Linked DNA regions of Cricetulus griseus. Each later gene encodes a partner of the first gene's protein in a complex. Links are inferred from orthologs where the notes say so. Each region holds a gene or a part of one and is shown on either strand. Other genes may lie near its edges.

What was found. Proteins that work in one complex are often made in the same cells at the same time.
Region 2: the proteins of Nsun4 (region 1) and Mterf4 are in contact, whole or in part, in a crystal structure (PDB 4FP9), measured with the Homo sapiens proteins. The link is inferred for Cricetulus griseus from reciprocal best matches to the Homo sapiens genes NSUN4 and MTERF4. Residues at the interface, in NP_950245.2 of Homo sapiens: Pro61, Ser62, Arg64, Val65, Leu68, Ser69, Glu70, Arg136, Gly137, Asp138, Ile139, Arg141, Asn367, Leu368, Met369; in NP_872307.2 of Homo sapiens: Tyr267, Glu269, Arg270, Leu271, Gly272, Arg273, Glu311, Glu312, Val315, Phe316, Lys318, Leu319, Arg322, Glu323, Glu326.

What each region holds. Positions count from the first base shown.
Region 1 is NC_048595.1:36,285,627-36,289,137, forward strand, and holds part of Nsun4 (5-methylcytosine rRNA methyltransferase NSUN4), read left to right. Parts: intron 1-2,644; coding exon 2,645-2,979; intron 2,980-3,511. UniProt on the Homo sapiens protein: Mitochondrial RNA cytosine C(5)-methyltransferase that methylates cytosine to 5-methylcytosine (m5C) in various RNAs, such as rRNAs, mRNAs and some long non-coding RNAs (lncRNAs).
Region 2 is NC_048595.1:444,768,155-444,772,178, reverse strand, and holds the start of Mterf4 (transcription termination factor 4, mitochondrial), read left to right. Parts: upstream 1-1,220; 5' UTR 1,221-1,344; coding exon 1,345-1,365; intron 1,366-1,928; coding exon 1,929-2,427; intron 2,428-4,024. UniProt on the Homo sapiens protein: Regulator of mitochondrial ribosome biogenesis and translation. Binds to mitochondrial ribosomal RNAs 16S, 12S and 7S and targets NSUN4 RNA methyltransferase to the mitochondrial large ribosomal subunit (39S).

The DNA.
Region 1 (3,511 bases):
CATGACTGTCAGCAATAGCATCTCAGTTGTTGCAACCCCAGACCAACTTGTGGGTTCCTCATCTGAAGTTTTCAGTTCCTTTTTAATCTGACTCACGTCCTTCACTGCTAGCCCCATAACAGTTACCCTAGAAGTTTCTGCTTTAATTCTTCTTAAGATTTTTGAACTGTCTTTATTCTGCCTTCCTGGGGTCTGGGAAATCTTCCAAAACAACTCAGCTCTGTGATTCTGTGCATCATTTTGCCTATTCACTGGCCATCTTAGGTAAGTGACTCTCATTGCTCCAGGTGTGAAAGGGGTATTGTTGTTGTTTTTGTAGCCTGTTGAACACTACTGTCATAGATGGGCATGGTGGCACATGCCCATGCCCTTAATCCCAGCACTGGGGAGGCAGAGGAAGTGGATTTCTGTGAGTTCGAGGCCAGCCTGATCTACAGAGTGAGTGCCAGAGAAACCCTATCTCAAAAAAGCCAAACAAAAAAAAAAAAAGAAGGAAAGAAAGAAAAAAGTTTTAAGTCTCAACCCTTCCCAGGGCTTGAGGAAATAGTTTCTTAAAGAGTTTTTCCTTGAGTTTCTTAGTCCCCTTCCTATTTTTCAGTGCTAGTTATCAAATCTAGGGGATTGCATGTGCTAAGCAAGCACTGTCACACCCCAGCTTAAGTCCTCACCCACTGCCCACCCCTTTTTCCTTTTTTGAGACTTATGTGTTTCTCTCTCTCTGTCTCTCTCACTGTGTATGTGTGTGTATGTTTGAGATAGTCTCTTGTGTCCCTATTTGTCTTGAACTCTGTGTAGCCAAGAATGATGCTCCCTTGTATCTCCTGAGTGGTGGGATTACTTACAGCAGACTTTTAAAAATGATATTTATGTATTTATTGGTATGAATATGGGTATGTACATGTATGCACCTATGTGCCATGTTCTACCTGGGGCGGGTCAGACAACAACTTGGGGGAATCATTTCTTTCCTTCTACCATGTGGTTCCCAAAGATCTAACTCAGGTAGTCACACCTAGTGGTTCCCAAAGATCTAACTCAGGTAGTCACACCTAATGGTTCCCAAAGATCTAACTCAGGTAGTCGCACTAGTGGCAAAAACCTTTCCCCATTCAGCCACCTTTGCTAAGAGACTACTGATGTGTAACCCAATCTGGCCTCAAATTTGCTTTTGTAGTCCCAAGGCTCACTTTGAATTCTGGATCCTCTTGCCTCAGCCTGCTAGGACTACAAGTGTGCACCACTGTGCCTAGCATAGTCTCTCTTGAAGAAACCTACACAGTTACTATAAGAGGTATTGTGTCCCTTCCCAATCCTGTGATATAAAGGCTAACTCTTCACTCTCCCAATTCCCAATTTCTCCTTTGGTAGGCAGAGGTAGGATGCAAAGTTAGGAGAGATCACTGAGTGGATTTGAATTTGCCTCGACTAGTTTTATATCAACTTGACACAAGCTAGAGTTATGTGAAAGGAAGGAATTTCAATTGAGAATGCCTCCATTAGATCTGGCTGTAGGGCTTTTTCTTTAAATTTTATTTTTAAAAATTTATTTTGGTGGCTGGAGAGATGGCTCAGAGGTTAAGAGCACTGGCTGCTCTTCCAGAAGTCCTGAGTTCAATCCCCAGCAACCACATGGTAGCTCACAACCATCTATAATAAGATCTGGTACCCTCTTCTGGCCTGTAGGCATACATGTAGACAGAACACTGTATACATGACAAATAAAATAAATCTTTAAGAAAAAGAAAAAAAAAGCATTTTATTTAAAAAAAATTATTTTGGGGACTGGAGAGATGGCTCCGTCGTTAAGAGCACTGGCTGCTCTTCTAGAGGTCTTGAGTTCAATTCCCAGCAACCACATGATGGCTCACAACCATCTATAATGAGATCTGGTGCCCTCTTCTGTCTTGCAGGAATATATGCCAGAACACTGCATACATAATAAATGAATCTTTAAAAAATTATTTTTTATTTTATATACCAACCCCAGTTCCCTCTCCCTCCCTTTCTCCCACCCCCCACTCATACCTCATAGAGAGGGTAAGGGTAAGGCATTTTCTTAATGATTGATGGTGAAAGGCCCAGCCCATTGTGAGTGGTAGTCCTGGGTTCTATAAGAAAGCAGCTGAGCAAGCCATGAGAAAGTAAGTCAATAAACAGCACCCCTCTATGGCGTCTGCATTAGTTCCTGTGGTTCCCGCCCTGTTTGAATTCTTGCCTTGGCTTCCCTCAGTGATGGACTGTCACCTGGAAGTATAAGCGGAAATAAACCCTTCCCTCCTCAAGTCGCCTTGATCATGGTGTTTCATCACAGCAACAGAAACCCTAGGTAAAACAGTAAAGTCAAGTGAAAAGAGATAGAGTCAAAACTGGAAAGATTGAAGCCGGGCGTTGGTGGCACATGCCTTTAATCCCAGCACTCGGGAGGCAGAAGCAGGCGGATCTCTGTGAGTTCAAGACCAGCCTGGTCTACAAGAGCTAGTTCCAGGACAGCCTCCAAAGCCACAGAGAAACCCTGTCTCGAAAAACAAAACCAAAAAAAAACAAAAAAAAAAAACAAAAAAAACAAACAAAAAAACAAAAAAACTGGAAAGATAGATACGCTTGCCTTTTTGTTTTGTTTTGTTTTGTTTTGTTTTTGTTTTAGGCTACCACAGAACCAGAATTTCCTGCCAGTCGGCTTGCTCTGCAAAATTTTGACATGTCCTACGGTATACAATTTGGGGATCTTTGGCCATCAATTCGTGTTAGTCTTCTCTCAGAGCAGAAGTATGGTGCATTGGTCAATAATTTTGCTGCTTGGGATAATGTGAGTGCTAAGCTGGAACAGCTGAGTGCCAAGGACTTTGTGAATGAAGCCATCTCTCGCCAGAAACTGGAGCCTGAGAGTGACCTTTCTCCAACTCCATCCCCGGACTGCAGTCCAAACCTCCGATGCTTCACTTTTTCCAGAGGGGATGTCAGGCGCTTCCCTCCTGCTAGGTAGGATCTGGAACCATGAGGGTCATCCTCAGTCCCTGCTAGCAGTGGACATGAAAAGTTGCTCAGCTACTGCCCACTGTAATAAAAATCGGAATTGTTAGTTTCTCTGCTGTGCTTCAACAGACTAGGTGTCTAAGTGCTGTCTACACACCATCTCTTTTGGTTCTGTTAATACCCTTATGGAAATATCTGCCCTCTTTTATAATTGAGGTACAAAGAGAGTAAGTGGTGTAGCTGGTATTCAGACCCAGGTGGTCTGAGCCCCAGAACCGGCACTGGGAACCTGTTCTGACATACTGTCTTCTGTGGAAAACATCTGCCTTTCACAAGAGCAACCCACTGTATCCTTCCCAGTGAAAATGCACCCTCCTCACTGTGTGTCCCGCCAGGCCCCTGTGAAAGTAAGACCAGAGGATGTGGACTTGGTAGGAAATAGGGGTTGCCTAGGAATGCATGTAACAGATTTGAAGAAAGACAGAACTTCCAGTGTCTTGAGGAGGTGCTTATGTGTGTGAAATGCAGTGAGAAAAGA
Region 2 (4,024 bases), about 410 Mb from region 1:
TGCAGCCATGCATGAGACCACACCTGGATTTTTTATGTGGGAATTGGAGTCTGAACTGCTGTTAATTGCTGGTCCATCTCTTCAGCCTCTAAAAGACTGACTTCTTTTAGTGTGTGTGGCCAGGTGTTCATGTTGAACAAAGAATTAAAAAGAAACTATTATGTGGGCATGTGTGCCATTTTGTATGTGTGAAGGTCAGTGGACAACTCTGTGAAGTGGGCTTGCTCCTTCACTTTTACATGGGCTCCTAGGGTCAAACTGAGGTCATCAAGCTGCTGCAGCCAAGTGTCTTAACTGCTTCGCCATCTTGCTGATCCTAAACACAGATTTTTAAACAATATAACTTACCAAATACTTTATCTGGGTCTGGATCCATCTTACCATTGCAGGAAGAACTTTGTTTGGGCTGTCCTGAGAAGTTATTGCTATATTACAATGCCTGCCAAAAACAGTATTCACTTAAACGGTGAGCCCAAGCACATGAATTTTGGTTGCTCCAAGAGATTCCATCGTCGATGTAGTTAGGTGAGATACTACTAGTTACAGAACAAAGTCATAAATTAAGTCATTTACCAGACACATCAGTAGGGATCACAGATAGGAAGGCTAAAGCAAAACTGGGAAAACACTTACCTACAGTAGTTTAGGTGTTAACTAATGATACCATTAGCTTTTGGATTGGCAAAAACCAGTGGTGATCTAAGAATATGTTTTAAAAGCCGGGCGGTGGTGGCACACACCTTTAATTTCAGTGCTCAGGAGGCAGGCAGATCTCTGAATTCGAGGCCAGCCTGGTCTACAGAGTGAGTTCCAGGACAGCCAAGGCTACACAGAGAAACCCAAAACAAAATTAAAGACCCTCATAGTCACAAAACTTCGGTTAGACGGGGTGGACAGTGAATGAACTTCAGAAAGGGTAAAAATAATCCATGCTAATTAGGTTCCACAATTACAGTTAGGTTATTTGGCCTTCTAGAATCTAACGCATGCTTTTTTTTGTGTGTGTTTTGTGTCCCGTCCGTTCTCGCTCCCCCTTCCCTCTCCCGCCAGTGTACTTGACAACAGGAAAAGATGGTGTGAGCTTAGCTTCACCCGAACTAAGGAGGGCAGTTGAGAAACCCCGGTAGCATTGCTTGTTCGTGGCAGAGACGCGCTGCGCAGTTGGGGGGAGCTGCATCTGCAAGCGGCTTGCATCCGGCAGGAGCCTGCGGGACTAAAGGATTGGCGGCGGAACTGAGGAACGCTGTCACCCGAGAGTGGGCGGACACAGACCGGAGGCCGGACACTGTGGGCCAGGAAGGACCGCCCCTTCCGGTGTCCCGGTTGCGTTCGCCGCTTGGGCTCATGGCTGCTCTGGGTCGGCAGGTGAGGTTGCCGTAGGTCCCGGGCTCACAGCGGCCGTGGACGGGACGGGACGGGACGGGGAGGAGGCACCGCCGCTGCTGCTTTGTGGCCACATCCGGTCACTCTGTGGCGGTAGCGCTCCCGGGTGGCGGGTGCACAGACAGCCTGGTCCTGAGATGAGCCGCTGGCTTCTACGGAGTTGGCCAGTGTGGCGACTGTGGGCCCAGGAGGCCTGGACCCCCGAGACGGGAGAGGGGGCTGGCCACGCTAGAGAGGGCTGGGGGCCGGTGTGGCGGGCACCGGGTGCGTAACTCGTTATGTGCTGCGCTTCAGTGCCCACCAAACGTCAGTGACTAGCAGCCCTCCGTGAAGCTCAAAGTATTGGTCGTGCCCGATTCCCGCGTCTTCAGTAACTGCTGTTGTCTACATGCTCATTTCCTTCCGTGGAGACTTTTTAGGACCAGAGGTTTTACGGATAGTTTATAAAAACTGTGAGCTTTTATGGGCCAAAATACTCCGGCTCAGTGATCTTGTGGTGGTCATTATCCTGAGGTAGAGCTGATTCTGCTTGGGCTGTCTTACAGGTTTGTGACTGGCACCGTCTAACGGGCCTCTCCTGGGCCTGTTTGTCTAGGCAGACTTCTCATCTCAGAGAACGGAAAAGGATGAGTCCTGCCTTGTTCTGCAAACTGACCACAGTACCCGGTGGAGAGAGCCTTCGAGAGTCGTCCTGTGTTAGACCCCAAAAGTATGTGCTGGCACCAGAGCACAGGACACATCTTGTTCAGTGTCTTCATGAGGATCGGGGGACGAGTGTGGAGCCCAAGTCCTTGGAGCTTGAAAAGGTCACCAGTTCCCTCCAGGACATGGGTTTCGATGAAGCCCATGTTAACAGTTTGCTCAGCCTACAGCCAAGTGTCCATCCTCAACAGTTGCTGGACATAATTTCAGAATTTCTACTCTTAGGGTTGCACCCAGAACCTGTATTTGTGGCCGTGACGAAAAGTCCACAGTTACTGAAACTGTCCACGATGCAGATGAAGAGGCGTTCCAGTTACCTGCGGAAGCTTGGGCTTGGAGAAGGTAGATGAAGCAGCAGACTTGGTAGTGTGAGGGAGTCAGAGTTAGTGAAGAAGTAGCCTGCTTAGCGGGGGTGGCCAGCCTTTCGATATTGTGACATGCCATGCCATCTACAAATGTGTTAGGCTGCATTTGTAGCTGTCCTAGAAGCATGCGGGCTGCGGGCTAAACACACCTTAGTAAGGTGATGTGAGGTAGGAAAGTTTTCCGAGGAAACGTCTGATGGGCCCTCTGCAGAAGGCATTGTAAGAGGGATGAGAGGAAATTAGCCAGGAGGAGAGAACCAGGCCAAAACAAGTCCCGTGTGTTCTGTTCATTGAGGTCTCTAGCTCCAGAACAGTGGGGACATGAAGTCTGGTTTTGGTGGGTTAGTGTTGCTATGTGGTATCGGTATATGTGTATGCATCCATACATGTGACATCTGCAAAAACATGCCGTGCAGAAATTTGACCTGGTGGTGGTGGTGCCAGGTCCCTGAAAAGCTGGTAGAGAGGCCTTCTCCCTTCTCCTGACTGTTGCCGTTCTTCTGGAGAAGGGAGATGGGGATGGATCTCCAGGCTTCTCTACCCATTTGACCAGTTTTATTTCTTTATTATTAACTGTTCCTGGTAAGAGTTTTACCCATAAGTAGGGAGGTTTAGAGTCCACTATGCTTGGTGTCTCTACAGGCCGCCTTCTCTAGAAAATAAACAAAAAGATAACTATATTCCTCTTGACAGATTTTCTTTTACAGTGTCATCTAAGTCTAAGCTCAGTCAGTATTGCAGCACAATTTGAGAGAAGAAAATAGAGCACATTTTGGCTGGGTGTGGTCGAGCACGCCTTTAATCCCAGCATTTGGGAGGTGGAGGCAGGCGTATCGCCATGAGTTCCAGGATAGTCCCAGCTACACAGAGAAAACCTGTCTTGAAAAAAACAAAAAACAAAAAACATAAAACAAACAGCTGGGCAGTGGTGGCGCACACCTTTAATCCCAGCACTTGGGAGACAGAGGCAGTTGGATCTCTGTGAGTTCAAGACCAGCCTAGTCTACAAGAGCTAGTTCCAGGACAGTCTCCAAAGCCACAGAGAAACCTTATCTCAAAAAAAAAAAAAAAAAAGAAAAAAGAAAAAAAACAGAAACCAAAGGTGGTGGTGGTGGGGAACATAAACTAAAAACAAACAAAAAAAGCTTACCCTTTGGAAATTTATCTTCACATTGTAGTGAGACAGAAACAGTGGCCAACTAGGCTGTTGGGAAACTATTTCACAGTCTAAGTGGTTTTTAAGTTTGCAGCTATTAAACTTGCCAATATTCGTAACAAAATTGGCCCAACGATAATAAGACCATTTACTCCCCTTTGTCTGGGACAGTCCCTGTTTATACCAGTTGTCTGAATACGGTTACTAATGTAGCTCACAATAAACCACTTGGAGGCCAGGTTAGGGATGTAGGGATCTGAGAAGAATCTCCTCTCCTCTCCTGTCTCTCTCCCCCCACCACCCCACCCCTCGGAGTGTATGTGTGTGTATCTGTATCAGTGGGTGTTTGGTGGTTGTACAGGTTCTGGGGCACTTGTGGATGCCATAAGACAACTTCTAGAGTCAGTTGTTTGCTTCC